3 linked regions of the Drosophila melanogaster genome follow. The gene in region 1 interacts genetically with each later gene. Each region holds a gene or a part of one and is shown on either strand. Other genes may lie near its edges. The genes, in order: Rheb, foxo and S6k.

Region 1 (3,600 bases):
CAATCGAAAATGTTGACCATTAAAATACAATCTTGAATAGTATTTTGAAAAATTATATTTAAATTGAAACTAAAAGTTTGCAGAATTTGTATATGAAATTTGTAACTGAATTGTTGTTGTAAAAAAAACGTACTAACTTAAACCTGTTGTGTTGCGCCAGACGCGAACCACAAAACCTGCTGGGCAGCGTTTAGCGGACGCATTCAGATCGCTTGATATTGGTTACTTGCTGTGTGGTCTTAAGAATACTAGGTCTATTAGATTTTTAGATTTTCCTGCTGCGCACAAAGGGTACGGCCCCGCCATGCACGCTGACCCAACTGTGTAGATAAGAGATAATCGATTTTCGTATTGCCATAGCGATTTGCCGTATTTCCAACAGTTCGGCCGTAGTTTTAGCTACTCAGCCGCCCTACGATACAAGACAACCGCTCTTCTCCTGGGGATTGCCGTTCTCGTTTTCGATGAGGATCAGTAGCTGATGGAATATATCTCCCACGGACTGCGAAGGAAGTACCTTAGTTGCATTCAGCTAGTGTGATTCGTCTTGGTACTTGCCTCGTTCTGTTTGGCGGACGTTTCGAGAAATGCAGCTCGCCAGGACTCGGCCAGCTTCTTGCCTTCCTCCGTGGAAACGGTTCGTTCCTGGTGGAGATCGATCTTGTTGCCGACCAACACCACAGGTACACTGAAAGGCAAAAAAGATTAGCTTAGCTCTCAAGCGGAACCCACGGGGAAGAAGCCTACTATTTCTTGCCCATTACGTCGAGCAGTTTTTCGTATATGATCTTCACCACCTCAAAAGACTTTTGGCTGGTTATCGAGTACACCAGGACGTAGCCGTGGTAATCCATGCTGTACTGCACCGGGAATATGCTGTACTCGTCCTGGCCCGCCGTGTCGATGAGCTTTACGATGTAGTCTTGCGACTTTACACGCTCGATCTTGGTGAAGGCTGCGAATGGGAATTACCGATCATTACGCATTGCTACTGCTATCGAAGCATGGAGTCAGCCTGGCTTCTAAGAAATCCGCACGGAATGGGATGTGACACTTACTGTTCTCAATGGTGGGGTCATAGGAGTCCACGAACTGGCCCTCCACGAACTGTATGCATAGCGACGATTTGCCTGCGGGCGAAGCGTAATTATTATGGTCAATTGATCATAGTTCTTGCTGTTGTCGAAATACTACGCAATTACCAGTGCCAGCAGCAACAGTGTCAGTGCTTCTGGCGGAACTTTCTGGGAAAACTCACCCACTGATCGGTAGCCCATCATGGCTATGTGGCGCTCCTTGGTTGGCATTTTCCTGGGGCCCAGTGCTTTGAAATAAATGGAGAAATTTATTGGTTTTGTGATTTTCCACACTTTTGTTTTTGCTGTCGCCCCTCGACTTTTTGTGCGCTTGTGTGGGTATGCCCGTGCTCCTTCTTTAAATGTGTGTATGAGGAATATTGCTTCTGCGTTTATTTTGCTTGCTGAGGATACTTTCTATCACAGCTAGAGCTTTTCCGGCGATTTTAATTCCAGTATTATTTATCAGATCGTCTAAAAGAAAACAGTAATTCTGAAGTTGAATCAGTGCTGGTGTCGACGAAGCCGAAATACCACTCCTAGCCTACTAACATAAGGCATTTGCCAGCTAATGAGGAACCGTCACACTACACTATCGTCTACTAGTTTAACGGTCAACAATTGCAGAAAATATCAAGGCCCGTTCGGAAAGGTGCTTGTCGTAATCAAGTGTAAAAAGTCGCAGTTATTTTCTTAAATAGTTAAAACATATTAAATGTCTTCGTTTTATGATATTAAAATAACTGTTTTATTTGTTATATATTGCAAATAGAGCCTGATTCTGTGGACATGTCTAAACAGGCCTTTAAAATAAAAATAGTGCAATCGATTGGGAACGAAATCGATATTTGTTTAGTACTCCGAGTTTTCTGCAGCACTTTCGTAAAAACTTGCTTTGATTTGATTTTTTAAAAGAGAAAACCCCACTTCAAATGGGTACAAAGCGTCGCAACATCGAGGATGAGCTCTCACGCTTCGAGGCGGAGATCTCGAAGCCCCCCGCCCGCAATCTCTTCGTGCCCAACCAGGTGCGCCCGATCATAGCCGCCAATACGTACCAAAACTCGCAGCACAAGCTGCAGCATCACCAGGGCAATGGAGGATCGCGTCTGACCGTACCCCCGCCCCCGATGCCGCCTCCACCCACGTTTATGTCCACCTTCGTGCCTACGGGCAGTGGAGGTGGTTCTTCCAAGGCTATGTCTGCCACTCCCGTAGTCCTGAGCAGCGCCCCCAAACTTTATCAGTGCCGGCAGTCTGTGCACGTGCCCACCGTGGCCGCCGCGCCCTCCATCGACATCAACGCCGTCTCTTTTGACGTAACGCAGAAGCTGAAGAAGCTCAAGGCGGAAAAGTCTGGACCCAATCCCATTGCAGAGGAGGCCATTAAGGCAGCGCGCGCATCATCGGCGCTGCAATCCTTCCAGACAACAGAGCGGAAAAAGAAAGACCGCAAGACGGTGCGTATCGCTGGCGGCACCGTGTGGGAGGATACTTCGCTGGCTGACTGGCCCGACGATGACTTCCGCATCTTTTGTGGTGACTTGGGAAACGACGTCAACGACGAGGTCCTGACCCGGACCTTCAACAAGTTCCCCTCGTTTCAGCGGGCCCGTGTGGTGCGGGACAAGCGCACGGGCAAGAGCAAGGGATTTGGCTTCGTGAGCTTCAGAGAACCGGCCGACTTTATACGGGCCATGAAGGAGATGGACGGCCGCTATGTGGGCAGCCGGCCTATCAAACTGCGCAAGAGCACGTGGCGACAACGCAGTCTTGACGTAGTTAAGAAAAAGGAGCGCGAAAAACAGGTGCTTCTGCAGGCCTTCAATTCCATGACTTGAATCTGAGTGTGCATATCGTGTCCTTTAGGCTAGTTTCGGTCACTTTGATGTAGCAAATTAGATTTGGATGTTGCTGCTAAAGATGAGCAATAAATTTACGTTTAGCAATTGACGCGCTTAGTTTTTATTAACAAACCCTACCCATCCTATTACGAGGTAAACCAGCAGCACATTTTTAAATCAGAAATTGTCTAATATGTTTAAAAACCTTAAACGGGAAAGCAACACTCACAATAATATTACGTAAAGCTTTTAGTACCATTTGGACTCCTCCTTGTCAGCGAGCAGAGGTCTCCGCACCGCATCCCCACCATCGAGATGGTGGGGACCACGACTGCCATTGTCGTCCTTTCCAGACAGTCGCTGGTACTGGCTTCCCTCTCTGCTGGGCCACCTGACCAGTGGTATGCCGGCATCAGGGCAGAAGATGGAGGGATAGTATTGTGTGTAGCTTATATAGCCTGCAAACAGGCCAATCAGCCCGCCGATGGTCACATCCTGCCAGTGGTGGTGGTAGTCGCAGGTGCGACTAACTGCAACCAGCAGTGCGATAAACAGAGGTATCACAGCGATGCAGAGCCGCCAGGTGTGGCCGCGTCCCCGGCTATCAAAGGCGTGCAGCTTGGCGCCAATGTAATAGGCAATGAAACCGAAACTCGCAAAGGCGACTAGAGTAGGCATAT
Region 2 (7,356 bases), 8.5 Mb from region 1:
CAATGCACATCATATTTATGCACTCCCCGCCAGCCAGCAACTGTTGCCATGTGGAGCAGCAGCTCCACTCGCCGGCACCCGTTTCTATCTGTTTGTATCCCTCTCCCTCTGTGGCGACCAGCTGCTTATCGCGGTGGGCACCCTCCAAACCTCTGACCCCAAGCAACGCCACAATAACCCCTTTACAATGCCAAGCATAAACCTTGGACAACAAATCTTTTTTGTGGCACTTTCAATCTGCGCTCTTTTTCATATTATTTGTACTGTGCTTTAATTGTTGGTTTTCTGTACCACTGCGTTTTTGCTTGATATTAAAGTTAGTTTTGGGAAATAAATAACAATAATTTATATGTGTATATATTAATCATTGGAAAGTGACTAAGACTTAGGAATCTGGTAATGCAGTGATTGAAAATGATATATTAAGACATTTTTGTGAGCTCAGTCGGGCCCTAATGCACTTTCCAGCTATTTTGCATGATTTTCCTATTAACTTGGCATTAGAAAATCCACAAGGAGATGCCATGTCAGTCATTGCATTCTGGTTTTTTCTACGCTGTTAATATTTAATAATTTATTAAGTCAATTATCGCGGAAGCTTATTCAAATAAAAGCTTATTGAAAGTGCAGTTATCTGGCGGCACGTGGATCTGCGAGAGAATCACGCGCTTCTAGAGCAACTAAGAGAAATAGAGAATTACATATATATAAATGAATACATATGTAGATTTCTATATATTTATATATACATATACATATACATATATATCGCTATATAGAGAAGGAGAGGCCCGACCAGGCAATGTGCAATAGTTCAGAATGCAGCGAGTGCGAACGCAAATGCAAATGAACGGCAGAGGCCCTGCAATGTTTATTGAATTCATTACAATAATTAAAGAGCAAACGAACGATTCGATTCCACTCGACCGATGGCGAAGTCAACCAGGAACGTAGAGCCCCCAAACGGCGATCTTCGATTGACAGCTGGGACAACTGACGCATGGAAATCATGGATGGGATCATCTGACTTCGCAAACGCAATCGATTTGCATTACTAACGTTTTTGGGGTCGGCGCGAAAAACGAAATAAATTAAGCAAAAAGAAGCGTTCGAAAAAAAGTTCTACACATCTGAGTAGAATATTTAAAAATCACAAAATAATACTAAGAAATAACTACTGGTATTCCGACTATATCTTTCTAAACAAAACAATATGTAGTGGCTCTCATTTAATGATCATTAAATTTCCATTACTAACGTTTTTCGGTTATCGGTAAAATCGACATTATCGATATAACTTATCGTCATTCTCAAACGAGCTTATTAGTAAGAGCTTTACTAATTCTTGAAGAATACTAGAATACGAAGAATACGTTTAATGTTGTCTCTCAAAATTAATTGACTTCCCGGTTTCCCTGCTTCAATTACAGCTTTTTAGACAAACTTTCGCACACTTTCTTGTTATCAACTGGCACGTTCCACCAATGTGGCTAGCAAACACTCAAGATATGATAAAAGTCACAATCGCAAGCACATAGGACGACTATACAGATGTGTGTATAGGCTTATATGTACACTTTTTTTGGGCCATCAGCTGCTGTTGTACCTTGGCACATTGCGAATAGATAAAAGCCTTATCTGTAAATGGGGAATAAAAAAGCCTCTTTCGACAGCTAACCGAGTGGCGAATCAACCCATTTATGAAAATTAAACCTAATCACATTTCAATGTCAATACTGATGTCAAGAGAATATTCAAAAGCATCTGAAAACGGTGCGTATACGAGATCGCTGGCAAAATATGGCAACAAAATCGACCTTAGTGGATCGCATACGAAAATCGGGGGAGCAAACAAACACAGAACGAAAGAAATGAGCTCCACGCAAACGACACACGCTTCAAGCTCTGCTATCAGTGTGGCGCTGGGGCTCTATTTTTAGAGCCATTATCAGCGCTGCTCTAATTAAGATCTCCCCTGCCCACTCCCATGACAAGTAACACACCAAAACGGACTAATCAAAACCCACACGAACTGAAAGATCATCTATTGGAGCGACACTGCAGCGCCGAACGTGACCGACTTTATGATTCTAGTCGTTTTGATCTTGAAAGTGAAACTAGGAATTACTCGAATAAGGTTATAAATCACATTCCCTATCGGTTGTATTAAAATTTGGGTCGTAAATTCAATAGATGTGACTACTTTAACACAACAAAAAGTCCAGCTTTCCTATCTAAAATTCTAAACACCAATATAAATAAAAGAACCTAACTCTAGTTTCTATTAAACCTCTTAACTTTTATCAAAGCTTATTTTTATAAATATAGCAATAGCAATTTATATTGGAAATATTTCACGGAAGAATGAATATTTTATTGTGGCGACTAAAAAAAATGTTGTTGTAATCAACATAAAATACCATTTAATTTAAATTTTAATTGATGTGTAGGAAAGCACTGCTTCAATTACTTTTTTAATCGCGTGACGAAACAAAATTTGACTTTTAGAATATTTCAATCAATTGCCGATTAGATTCGAATCGAATTTAGGAACTTAAAAAACATGACATTTTTCATTCAATCAAGTACACCTACTCGTAATTGTTAATAATATTTACCCGCCAAATGTTTGCAATGGGAAATAGCTGGCTAATTTGTTGCTCCTTGTTGATTGCGATTTAAAAAATTGTTGATTTTGCCGGTGGGATTTGTTGATCGCCGTTTGCTGTTGTTAACTGGCACTGTTTTACTTTATTTTCCTGGTTGCTTTGCACTTTTTTATGGGTTTGTTTTTTTTTTATGGGTAGTATATATGATTGTGTTGTTGTTTTGAGCGAAACTTGTGCGGATTTCTTGATTTTTAGTGGTTATTTAAATATATACATATATATTTTTTAGAATTCTGTTGGCATAATTTTCTGCTCACACACACACACACTCATTAAATGGGTTTCTTGTTGTTGCTGGGCGGCGGTTTTGCTTAAGCTAAAGACGATTGTAAAAACGGTAAATTAGAATATATATATAACAACAATCAAAATAAACAAATAAAAAGAGCGCGAAGAGAGCGGCGCGATTAAAGAGCGTAGTGTGTGTATGTGTGTGTGCCGAAGAAAGAGAGGGAGAGAGCGAAGAGAGCGATCACGTCACGTCATCAATTCATGCCAATTGGACGCACACACAACACTTAATTGGAATTCGTATGAGAATTCAATGAAAACCGTGCGGCGCAGTCGAAAAGTTGTTTAAAGTTCAAATGGGTAAAAAATTTTAATATAAACACGTTTCGGAGCTTACTCCAATTCGCTTTTTATTCGCCACTAGTGTGCGTAACGTATTTTATGTGCCATATAGTAGGTACATATGTATGTATTTGTATGTACAACGTGACTGCTACGAAGATCATCCAAGCATCGCTATTTAATACGTTTTGGAGCTTTTCTCTTATTTTATACGATTGTCGTATGTAAAAAACGAACGCGTTCCTTCTACGTTTCAGTTTTGAGTTCGGCACATTCACATGTTTTGAAAGCGAAACATATTTATTTTCCACTTTCTTGATTTGTTTCTACATTTGCGTTTTAGAATCAACGGTGTTCGGCCCCAAACGATTTGGGCCTCAAAAGATCACTGCGTTTTTTGCATTGGTTTATATTTGCTTTGCTTGAAGTTGAAAAGGAAAACGATGAACGATGAACGACCTCGTGGCTTTTAACCGCAAGCGAAAAAACACAGACTACTCGTTAACTGCTTTCTAGTTGGATGCGAACTGACAACTGAAACTGATTCGCCGTCGCCTTCGTAAAAGTGTTCGTTTCGGCGGCGCAAAAAGGCGGTCTGTGCGTGTGTGTGTGCGACCTATGTCCGCGTATGTGAGAGCTTGCTCTTAGCATCCACTCACGTTCCACAACCGCTCACTTCACCGCTTTTTTATGTTTGTGGCGCGCTTCGTCTCACACACTCTCACACACTTGGGGCCAAAAAATTAGTGGGGTATGCCAAATCGATATGTTTTATTTGAGTATTTTCTGCGTGAAATAAGAGAAGTTATAGCTATAGCTATAAATGCAATAGATATTTTAAATCTTAAAGCATACAAATTTCTCTCTTTAAGGGATATTAACCCCAACTAAATGATAATTCGTATAAAATAAAAAAGGAATTGTTTCAATACTTACAAATTTAATAATATAAAACTTAATCTATTTATTTTTAATAACGGGTGACTGTTTTAATGAAAAGAATAAAGTTCAGCTGCAGTGAAACATTTAAGACGTCATTGCATATTAATAACAATTTGAAAAGTATTCATTATAAAAAACATGTTATTCACTATTGAGGTGACCGCCTTTGTGCCCCCGTCAATATTAATAAATAAAAGCCATAGTTTACCTATTTTATACATTTGGAATTTAAATTGTTTCTTTTCATTTCGGTCGCGCTGCTCTGAACTCGAAATTCTCGACGATGGAGGAAAGGGAACGGCGGCGGTGGGTGGTGGTTGGGCGTTTTGGGTGGGGTGATGGGGCGGTCGGCATTGCTGATAAGGCAGCCGTTATCTCGCGATTGTCGCTCGCTCGTTCACTCAAGCTCTCTCTCTCCCTCCCTCTTTGAGGCTCCATTTCTCTCTTACGTTCATTGTCTCGTGATGCGATGGAAAATTTCCCGAAATTGCATTCTACTGATAATGCCAGCAATGCACATTTGTGCATATGAATATGGGACTCAGAAGTGCCCCGCATCTCTTGCAGTGTGCGAGCTTTTTGGGAGCATGTATTTTATGGTCAAAGTCCCCCGCATCCCCGACCACCGAAAAATAAGCCCCTCCCGGTGCCAGTTTTTTTTTTTTTTTTAATTTCATTTTTCGCCTAGGCCCGATATCTCTATACTTGTACACACGTTCGCGTCCATGAGAGTGTGTATCGGTGTTATTTTAATGTGCCTGCCACATAAATTCCGCAACATTACACGGCTAATGAAGTCTAGACGCTGAGGACGGAGAAACCAACAGTTTATGGATCATCCAAACTTAAAGACCGACCCGATGCGATCGTCTCGATCCCTCGAGAGGGGGGATTAGAAACGAGCCAAGGAGATGAGTTAAGGACTTTAGGGTGCATCTTGGCATATCTAGGATCTTAAAGATTTCAAATTTGCAGGCTTCATTGGGTAATTTTTTGTTAATTTGTAATTTTTCAGAATATTTTTATTGCTTAAAAAGCTCTTTTAGTTTTTTTTTGTTGTAAGATTATAGCTCTATTAAATAGGCCTCAAAGTCTGCAAAGTCCCGAGTTATGACAATAAAAGTTTGCATGTACATAGAGATTTTGGAATGCGAGAACAACAAGAAGATAAGTCCGCCAAAAGATACATATATATTTTAGAATGCTATTAAGTTGGCTTAAGAACGATAAGTAACACGTTGGTATAGGTAAGTTCCATCTGGAAGTGGGCTTATAAATCACTACTACCATTTAAATGAGCATGTAAATAGCATGTTAACTGGAGTATCAAATGAATTGAAGTTCTCAAGACTAATTTATGCGTTTGAATGATCAGATAAAAGTTAAAATCACTCGAGCAGTGTATCAATAGGCCGCCCACTTCCCATTCCATTCCATTGAAATTACACAGACGTTTCAGCTATCGCCAGCTAATACTTGATCATAATTGTCAGCGGCAAAAAAAAACAGAAAATATACAAAAATATGTATAGAGCGTTTCATTTGCGTTGGCGCGTGGCGAATGGCTAACTGTCGTCGCCGTCTCGGTCTCCGTCTCGTAATCACAACCAAATTTGACAAACTGGACACGCAAGGCACTAAACTCAGGTTTCAAACTGCGCGCCAAATCTCGAAAGGAGCTTTTCTGGGCGCCAGAGTGCCGAAAACGAAAGGGGTTCTTTCTACAAGCGACGCTCAAGTTTCAAAGGTCTCGAACTGCCTAAATGCTTGGCAAACTCTCTAGAACTAGATAGAACTAGATTTAGACCATTTTAAAAACTATTTAACTATAACTATTTAACTACATAAAAAAAGAACATTGTTTAACCGCAGCACATATCAAATAATTATTTAATTTCATTGCTATAAATGATAATCAGTTAAATACTCTGTAAATTACGTATACGCCCAGTTGTACAACCAGCTATCATCGTTATCAATACAGTTTATTAGATCTTAATAGCACTTAGTGAGTAGTGTGCAAAAAACATAAACGCCACCCTTTAGCAGGGCATTAGCACCAGATGCTCCGGCTAATTCGATCCAAAGTAAAGCCAGGCGATCCAAATCAAGTGGAGCCGATCCGGAGTGGCTCTACACACGCTTGGCCTTCAAAAAATTATAATTTCTGTTTTAATGTCTCGCCTGTGTTGGCATATCGTCGATGGATCGAAGGGGTTAATGGCAAGGGGGTGGTGGTATATTGCTATATTGGCATATTATAGCGGTCTCAAACTTGGACTCCAGTTGACTCGCCCGACGATTGTTTACCAGCAAAGACTGAGACAGTGTGTGTCTGTTTCATATGGAAATTTGAACACTGTTACTAACAATTTGTTAACTCAACCATTTTAGGCAGCCCTGCAAGTGTGAGATGGTGCGAGGGAGTAAGAAACACGATTGTTTTCCTAACTCGTTGGCAGCGATAGTAGAAATTGTGATTCCTAATTGATTTAGAAGTGGTTTATGCGCCAAAGAATACTAGATAATATATTTACTCAAATACATACATATACATATCAGTCACTATTAAAGCATTTCGCAATGGTGACCTAATACCGAACACCTCCCCAATAATCGCTTGATCAACTGTGGCCGAAACGGTATTTGCTGTGCCACTGCCACTTTGGCTAAAACGAGATTTTGTGACGTTGGTGTGTCGCTGTCGAAGTCGCACGCTGATGTTGATGGGGCGCTATCAAGACTCTAAAAGACACCCAACCAACATCAACTCTCGCTGGCAGGCGGAATTATGCTTATATGCTTATGTGCGCATGTGTTTGTCAAAAGCGAGCCCCCCTAATGTGGCCACATGGAATTCTGCGAGCAGTGGCGTACTCAGAAAGCGGGCTAAGGGGAGGGGCTTATTGGAAGTATACTAAAAATAAATAAGTTAGTTTCAGAGTAATAATTGATTCAATTATTAGTACGTTAATATTAATATCTAATACTTATAAAAATACTTTAAACCTCAACCCTCCCCCACTTCGTCGCCCATGTGAGCAGCAGACTCTGTAGACGGCGATGTGAAGGCTTTCGGGATGTCGTAGTACTGGACCCATTTCCAATAACTGTACCGGTTCGACTTCTCCAACCTCCCCCTTCCCTCCAACCACCGCCCCCCCCCCCCTCA
Region 3 (7,356 bases), on another chromosome or scaffold:
GGGTGTGCGCTGTGTCCTTTTGATTGGTCACAATGGATGCCTTTTTGAGCACCTTCATGGCAAAATATTTGTTAGCATCTCGTCCAGCGGTCTTGCGCACCTGAAATAAACCAGAATATTAGTGATCCGTAACCCGGATTAGTGAATATTTACTTACCTGAAATACTTTGCCATAACCACCTTTGCCAAGGACCTTCTTGAGCTCAAAGTCCTTGGGTCCCAGCTTGATTTTACCTGGATTAACATTCTCCTCGCAGAGCTGTATGGTCTCCTGGCCCTCAGTGCTATTAATTGGGAATAGGAAATTGGGTATTGGGGTTAGGGGACTGATTTAATTGTTGTCTTCTGTTCTGTTCGATGGTGTTTGCGTTTGTTTCGTCTAGCGTGGGAAAGGAGCAGCCCACGTGCTATAAATAAATCCCATGGCGTGCACGCGCCAATTGTCACCTCCATTCCGGTCCGTGCAGCTCCTCCCTCCCCCATCCACTGGCACTGGTACTTCCACTCTCAACCAGCTTTCGCATTATTGCCGTCGAGTGTTTGCCGTGAGTCTTGTTTACACACCGAACTAGCTGGCTCATTGAAGAGGCGGCGGCCAGGGGCCGAGTGACAGCTAGTTGGTAGTCAATAGCTGTTGTAAACACTTCTGGGTCCGTCCGTTAGTTCGATAGTCCGTCGACTATTGGTCCCTTATCATCTGGATTTGTCCAGAGTCGACCAGGCTAAGTTGCGTCTGGCCGGGATAAGGCTCTAAGCCAAATCAATCATATCATATGCTATCACTGCCATCGTTTGCAGTGTGTAAACAAGTCTGAGCTGATAATTGGCAATTTGGCTGTTCATTTAACTGCTGCTCAGCTGGCTGGAGAGGAAGTCCGATCGTATCTGGGTCCCTATCTACCCCGCATTCTCAGAAAGTCACGTCACAGTCACGTCCTCCGATGTGGCGGCATAGCACTGGCATTACTCACTCTTGGTGCAGATTAATACACAATTCCGGTTCTAGGTCAACCTGCAAATGCGAAAGAGAGACGGAGAGGCGTGTGAGTGAGATGGCGTCTACTTGCGAGCATAACTGCCAGCGGTATACATGCGAAAAAATCAACAATTAATCATAGTTATTGCGAACTTGGGAGCAAACAGCAGAAGGGAAAGTTACACAGCACCGGGCATCGACGAAGACAAGAGGCCCTAAATCTTACAGATACTTCAAAATCAGCCTATACCAGCAGTAATATATATGTGGGTTGCTTAAAGCTAGTAGCCCACAATTTTAATATGCTTTTTTAGTAATAAAAATAGCTCAAGAATCAGTTCTAAAATGGGAAATCGTATATCGTTATATTTTATTTTTCTTGTTGCATGCTTAATCCCCATTCGGTGCTGCCCCACTTTTCAGTTTCGTTTTAAGCAGCGGGAGATTCCGATGAATGGAGAGATCGCATCGGAGTAGTAGTAGGGGCTCGCTCTGGGATCTCGGATGGCATCCGTCTTTGGAGTATGTGAAGCCAGTGAGTTTCTCCACCACCCTTCGATTTGTCCACTACTCCACACGGAGCTTATTCGGTATTTACACAGAGAGAAAGAGCGTGGCATCCACACAGATGTACATTCGTACACTTTCCGCACACGCACACACACCTTTCGCTTAATGACAAACTAAATTTAGAACTCGGAACAATGCCAAATAATCTGCCGGCGATGCTGGCGCTGTTCCTCGTCCCCTCCGGGTCCATTTGCCGCCCCCTCGGACGCGGCTGCTCCAATCGGAGGAAGGCCACAGTTAGGGGCGGCAGATTCAGAAGAATCAGCAGCAGCCGCAGCCGCCGTCGTCGTTCTCGTCATGCCTAAAATTTGTATAGAACATTTTTGACTAAAGTTCAATTGAATGGCGGCATCGGAATAGGAATCCGCATCTCGACATCTCGTCGCGCAGCACATTAAAAACTGGTTCACCTCGTCAGCGTTGGCGGTGAATTTCAATTAACAAATCCATCATAATTTATAGCGTTCATACAAAGTCAGTGGATGGGCGGAGGGAGGGGGTGTGCGCGCTTGCGTAAATCAAGTAAATCGACAGGTCTTGGAAAAGGTGTGCGATATGGTAGTGATAGGTTCTTATCAACACCGAAAAGGTTTCTCCAGCTATGTAATTCCCCCGGGCAGACAAAACCAATAATACACAAAGAAAAATGATAATTACCCAAGAGCTATTCTCTCCCTTTTTAGTAGATTATTTTCGTACTTTTAAGCCATTACTTTACACAATTTGTCTAAAAATAAATCAATTGACATCATAAGATGACGGCATATGTACACACATTGTTGCTAAATTACATATATTTCAGGCCAATTTAGAACTTTTAATATTCGAATTAAGAGTTTTAGCAACTTGCTTTAGCCAAAATGCATTTATTGCGACTAGTATTGAATACGGGAAGTAATTTAAGCGTTTAAATACAAACTTATCAATTTAAGAACCGCTCATTAGCACAATTAGTAATCAGTAATTCGGTACTTAATGACTACATACTATGGAAACTAATATTCTTTTCCAGTGTACTGTGGTGCAGTTACAACTGGTTCCGTATAGCACCACCACCCCAAACACGACGGTTTGGCTCGACGATCGCTCGATTTCGATCTCAATCGCCTGCCTGCCTGCCTGCCCTTTTTCCTTCCATTTTGTTGTGCTCCCTTATCGGCGCGTGGAGGTTTTTCTCATTTTCTAATTTTATATGGCACGCTGATAAGGAATTTCGTTTTCTAAGTGGAAGCTAAGACACTTGCGAGAGTGCGAGCGAGTCGGCGTTCATTTTGGGCCTCCCTCTCCTTCGCACACCACCTTTGCAGTTGTTGCATTATCAGCTGAGACAGGGGCGGTGGCAAGCAGGGGGCTGCCATGGAGTGTGGCGGGCAATTGGGGCTGATTAGTTTGAAGGACACCACCACTGGCTTCGATTGGCCCATATCAATCGAAGGTGGTTTCGTAAGGAGGTTTTCTCTGATCGAGTCGAACTTATGGTACAATGAGTGAGCGCATGTACATGCGCTGAATAATCGGCGACTGGACTGAAACCGAATGACGCCAGACATTTGCGCAGCAGATAAGCCCAGTTTGCAGGGTGTGCGGCTGGTGGATATGCTGGTTCGGGGGTGTGGAATCGGGATGCCCAGACGAGCGAAAGGAAAACTGGCAGACAAAGCGCAGAAAAGGTAAACAAAGAGGGAAATTGTTGCTGCGCAGTTTGCATCGGGGGATGGTGCGGCACGCATTGGCACGGGATGGCATGGAATGGGGGCTATATCTTACATCGTCCAGCTCGATCCTGTCGTCGTCGGAGTCCCTGGCCTTGTCGTCCTGCAGTTCCAGGTCGTGCAGCTCCAGGTCGAACAGTTCGCTGGGATCGCTCACGTCCGCCATTGCGTGCGTGTGTGTGTTTGGGCGAGTGCGATTCTGTTTGGATATGGATATGGGAAGTGGATCGCCGCTGGTCCGCTCCTGAACTGGGCGCTCCTCTCGCGGGGGGGCGGAAGCGCGTTGGCGATTTATTTTAGTCTCTGGCTATGAGTCTCCTTGTTCAGCTGGTTGGTTCAGATGGAACAGTACAGAACAGAACAGCAGCGGTGCCGATTTCGTGGCTTTCGTCGTGGCCCGAAGGTTATTGTTTATTAGTTAATGGCAATACAAATACACACACACATGGGGGCACACGCACCAACACTGCGACGCACGCACAACGCACCCACACTCACGCACACAGACACTGTGCTCAATGCCTTGCCCACGCGCGCCCTTTGAGTCCGCTGATGTGCAAGAAAACGTTGTTGTTCGCGAACGCCTAATCGCAATGCAGTAATCAGTAATTAAAATGCACTTTTTTCTTTGTTTGCGAGTGAAACACGAGGTGATTTGCTGAGTGTGGCCAGTCGTGCGCTAACTGCCAATTGCTAGAAATTACCGAGGCGCAACGAACGGCAATGCCGCGACAAAGTGTGGCCGTAGCAAGCCAAGCACGCGCTAGGAGGACAAAGTGCTACGTACAATTCTTTTAATTTATTTATTTTATGTAGCCAGTGATAGCAACCAAATAGCCGAGTCATGCGCACCGGCTCGCCCAGCAGCAGCGGCTCCCAGTCGGAGGAGGGCAGCAGTTCCTCAGATCACCAGCAGCCGCAGCAGGAAGCCCAGGAGCAGGAGCAACAGCTGCACACTCCCACGCATGCACATGCCGCGGTGCCAGCTGCCACATCGGAGGAGATCCTGGCGGAGTACGGCAGCAACCTGAAGCTACTCGAGTGCAATTCCCAGGTGGCCGAACTGCTGACCATATTGCGCGACAAGTAGGTGACGTTGGGGAGGAGGAGTCAGCAGCGTAGTAGCAGTACAACAAAATTCTACCCCCCAGGAACACCACGCGCAGTGACTTCAAGTTCTATGCCGACCGTCTCATCCGGCTGGTCATCGAGGAGTCGCTCAACCAACTGCCCTACACCCATTGCGATGTGGAGACGCCCACCGGTGCGATTTACGAGGGACTGAAGTATCGCTCCGGCAACTGCGGCGTGTCCATCATCCGATCGGGAGAGGCCATGGAGCAGGGACTGCGTGACTGCTGTCGCTCCATTCGCATTGGAAAGATCCTGGTCGAGTCCGATGCCAATACGCATGAGGCCCGCGTGGTTTATGCCCGCTTTCCCGATGACATCGGCAGCAGGCAGGTGCTACTCATGTACCCCATCATGTCCACGGGCAACACTGTGCTGCAGGCGGTGAATGTGCTGCGGGAACACGGCGTACCCGAGAGCTGCATCATCCTGTCCAATCTCTTCTGCACACCCATTGCCGCTCGGACCGTAGTGAATGCCTTCCCCAAGCTGAAGATCCTCACCTCCGAGCTGCATCCCGTGGCACCTAATCACTTTGGCCAGAAATACTTCGGTACAGACTAGATACTTGGGTCTATCTCGCAGACTTGACGACTAAGCGCTGCTTAGGATAGGTAGCTGTCGCCCAGACAAACGCCCTTTCCTGCGTTGCGCTCCACTAACAAATGCTACCCTCTCTCACTCTGTTTCGTCCTCCAGATTGCATTTGAGACACACAGACAAATAGACGACCCCTGCGGCCAACCAAACTACTACTTAGCAACTGTTAGCTTTTCACAACTGGCTTTTAATGCAACTCTCAAATACGTTACGTTCGTTACGCACTATTGTAAATATAGAAACGAAATAAATATTTAAACATTAGGATGAGGCGGTACTGCCTTTTAAGTGCTCATCTTGTAGTTGACCACGGTGTCCACCTTGTGCAGTCCTGTAGAAAAGGAGCGCAGCTGGACGGCCTGCGGATTCTGTATGACAATGGCACCCGTTTCGTCCCATTTGGCCGGTAATTCGGTGTTCTGCAGCGTGTGAATCATTATGTCGAAGGTGCAGATGCAATCGAGCAGTGGCAAATAGCTCACGGTGGCCGAGATCTGCCGCATAACGTCGCGAATCTCGTTCTGTATGCGACTCAGCTCCTTGGTGGTTGTTGCCTTGGTGGGATCACTGATATCGCCATCGCCCAACTCGGCCTGCATATTAAAGTCCCAGCACTCGAGCACCTCCTTGGTGTGGGCGTTCGTAATGACCATCGAGATCTTGTTGATCATGTTCTTCGAGAGCCATTCTATAGGTGAATACAAATAATGGTCACCATAAACTTGAATTTTTTCCAAAAGACCACTAACCTTCAGTTTGGCTGAGCACGTTCTGCAGAAAGGTCTTGATCTTGGGATCCTTGGACATTAGAATGGTTAGCCCATACTGCTGCGTGTTGTTAAAGTCTTCGGCTGGGTAAATTCCGCGTTGGAAGAGGATCGAATTGATGCCGTACTCTATTTAGGAAAAAAAAAGAACCAGAGACGCCATTGCAGGCGAACTTACAGACGCTTTCGTGACGTAGCTTGCTACTCACTCAGGTATTCCACAATAATCTGAGCGGAGCCCTTGAGTGTGATGCAGTTTTTGGTCGCCTGGGCAGTTGACATGTTGATTTAAGTCGATTTAAGTGGGAGAGAAATTAACAATTTGCTAAATTGCCGCTATTTTTGAAAGGTGTTGACTAGCAGAGATGACAGAAGCTCGATATACATTCGATACGTTTGTCTGCAATATATCGATAAATATCGGTGAATGTACTCGCTAAATTCAGTATATTTCTATATTTGGTGTGTGTATTGGCTATGCGACCAGGGATGGTGGAACCAGGGATGGCTAACTCCGACCAGTGCTGCCAAGCAATTCCCAAAGGGCGGCATATTTAAATTCATCAATTTATTTGCGCAATAAAATCAAAACACAATTATTGATTGCAACAAATTCAGAATTTTATTGGCCATCCTTGTGTAAACTAAATCTAAGCATGAGATCCATTTCTGAGCGCAAAAGTAATTCCGCGTGGTTCGGCCTAATGGGTTCCATCCGGTTCATCGTATTCCTGCCAAGAGACTAAAATAAGACAAGACTTTGATATAGCCAGAACAATAGAGGACCCAGTTAATCTATGCTATCCAAAACCTAGCTCGGTTCGTCAGAGCCTTGATTACTCTGCCCTCTGATTTGACAGAAAAGATCAGCAAAAGCAGAGCAGCAAATCATAAACGAAGTACAAGAAGCCACAGTGAACAAGAACAGAATATCAGACCAAATCAAAAAGCAATCGATGTTTGTAAAATGTGAATTATTTGCAAATTTTTAATTAAGTTTTTTCTTACGCATCGTTTTGTTTGTTTTTGTTGTTTTTTTTTCGTTTTTGTTTGTTTAATGTTTTGTTTTAAATTAAAATTAAACTTTACATGGTATTTTTGGTATAAATCTTTCAATAATTAAATATATAAAAAATTTGCCACTTAAAATAACTAAAAATAATCTCTACGCACTTTCTTGCTTTACGCCTAGCCATACAAACTGATGTCAACATACACATTGTGAAGAAATAAAAACTAATTTGCCATTTTACATATTTTGGTGTTGAAATTGCGCAAATCCAAAAAAAACGAGGACAAATAAAATAGTATTTCGAAATTAAGTAGCTCCATGGTGTCTGTGTGGGGTGTTCGTGTGTGTGTGTGTGTGTGTGTGTGAGCTTATAGCTATAATTACGTTTAATTTAGGTGTAATTAAATACAATAAATTACGGTTAAAGAAGGGCTTGCATTACCTTAGTTGAAATGTACACAAAACTTATCGTTAGTTAAAACGAGAGCTATTTACAGGATTTATTACAAAGTTCTCGGCTACGTCAACCTTTGTTATCATTTTAAAATTATTGTCTATGATACAACAACAAAAGCGCAACAATGTCAA

The links.
Region 2: of Rheb (region 1) and foxo, changing one enhances a phenotype caused by changing the other (phenotypic enhancement), as found in Drosophila melanogaster (one study listed by BioGRID).
Region 3: of Rheb (region 1) and S6k, changing one suppresses a phenotype caused by changing the other (phenotypic suppression), as found in Drosophila melanogaster (3 studies listed by BioGRID).

What each region holds. Positions count from the first base shown.
Region 1 is NT_033777.3:5,566,930-5,570,529, reverse strand, and holds Rheb (Ras homolog enriched in brain), read right to left. Parts: upstream 1,610-3,600; 5' UTR 1,491-1,609; exon of another isoform or gene 1,325-1,490; 5' UTR 1,308-1,324; coding exon 1,259-1,307; intron 1,131-1,258; coding exon 1,059-1,130; intron 956-1,058; coding exon 748-955; intron 689-747; coding exon 559-688; intron 503-558; coding exon 413-502; 3' UTR 39-412; downstream 1-38. Other genes in the region: CG2931 (uncharacterized protein), read left to right, coding at 2,009-2,917; CG12746 (uncharacterized protein), read right to left, coding at 3,170-3,585. UniProt on the Drosophila melanogaster protein: Binds GTP and exhibits intrinsic GTPase activity. Activates the protein kinase activity of TORC1, and thereby plays a role in the regulation of apoptosis. Stimulates the phosphorylation of S6K through activation of TORC1 signaling.
Region 2 is NT_033777.3:14,053,370-14,060,725, reverse strand, and holds the start of foxo (forkhead box, sub-group O), read right to left. Parts: upstream 3,782-7,356; 5' UTR 3,702-3,781; exon of another isoform or gene 3,298-3,701; intron 2,986-3,297; 5' UTR 2,619-2,985; intron 1-2,618. UniProt on the Drosophila melanogaster protein: Transcription factor involved in the regulation of the insulin signaling pathway. Consistently activates both the downstream target Thor\d4EBP and the feedback control target InR.
Region 3 is NT_037436.4:5,806,977-5,814,332, forward strand, and holds the start of S6k (ribosomal protein S6 kinase), read right to left. Parts: upstream 3,956-7,356; 5' UTR 3,425-3,955; coding exon 3,314-3,424; intron 1,013-3,313; coding exon 972-1,012; intron 285-971; coding exon 158-284; intron 101-157; coding exon 1-100. Other genes in the region: kri (krishah), read left to right, coding at 4,103-4,344, 4,410-4,942, 5,089-5,099; mad2, read right to left, coding at 5,274-5,677, 5,739-5,885, 5,966-6,038.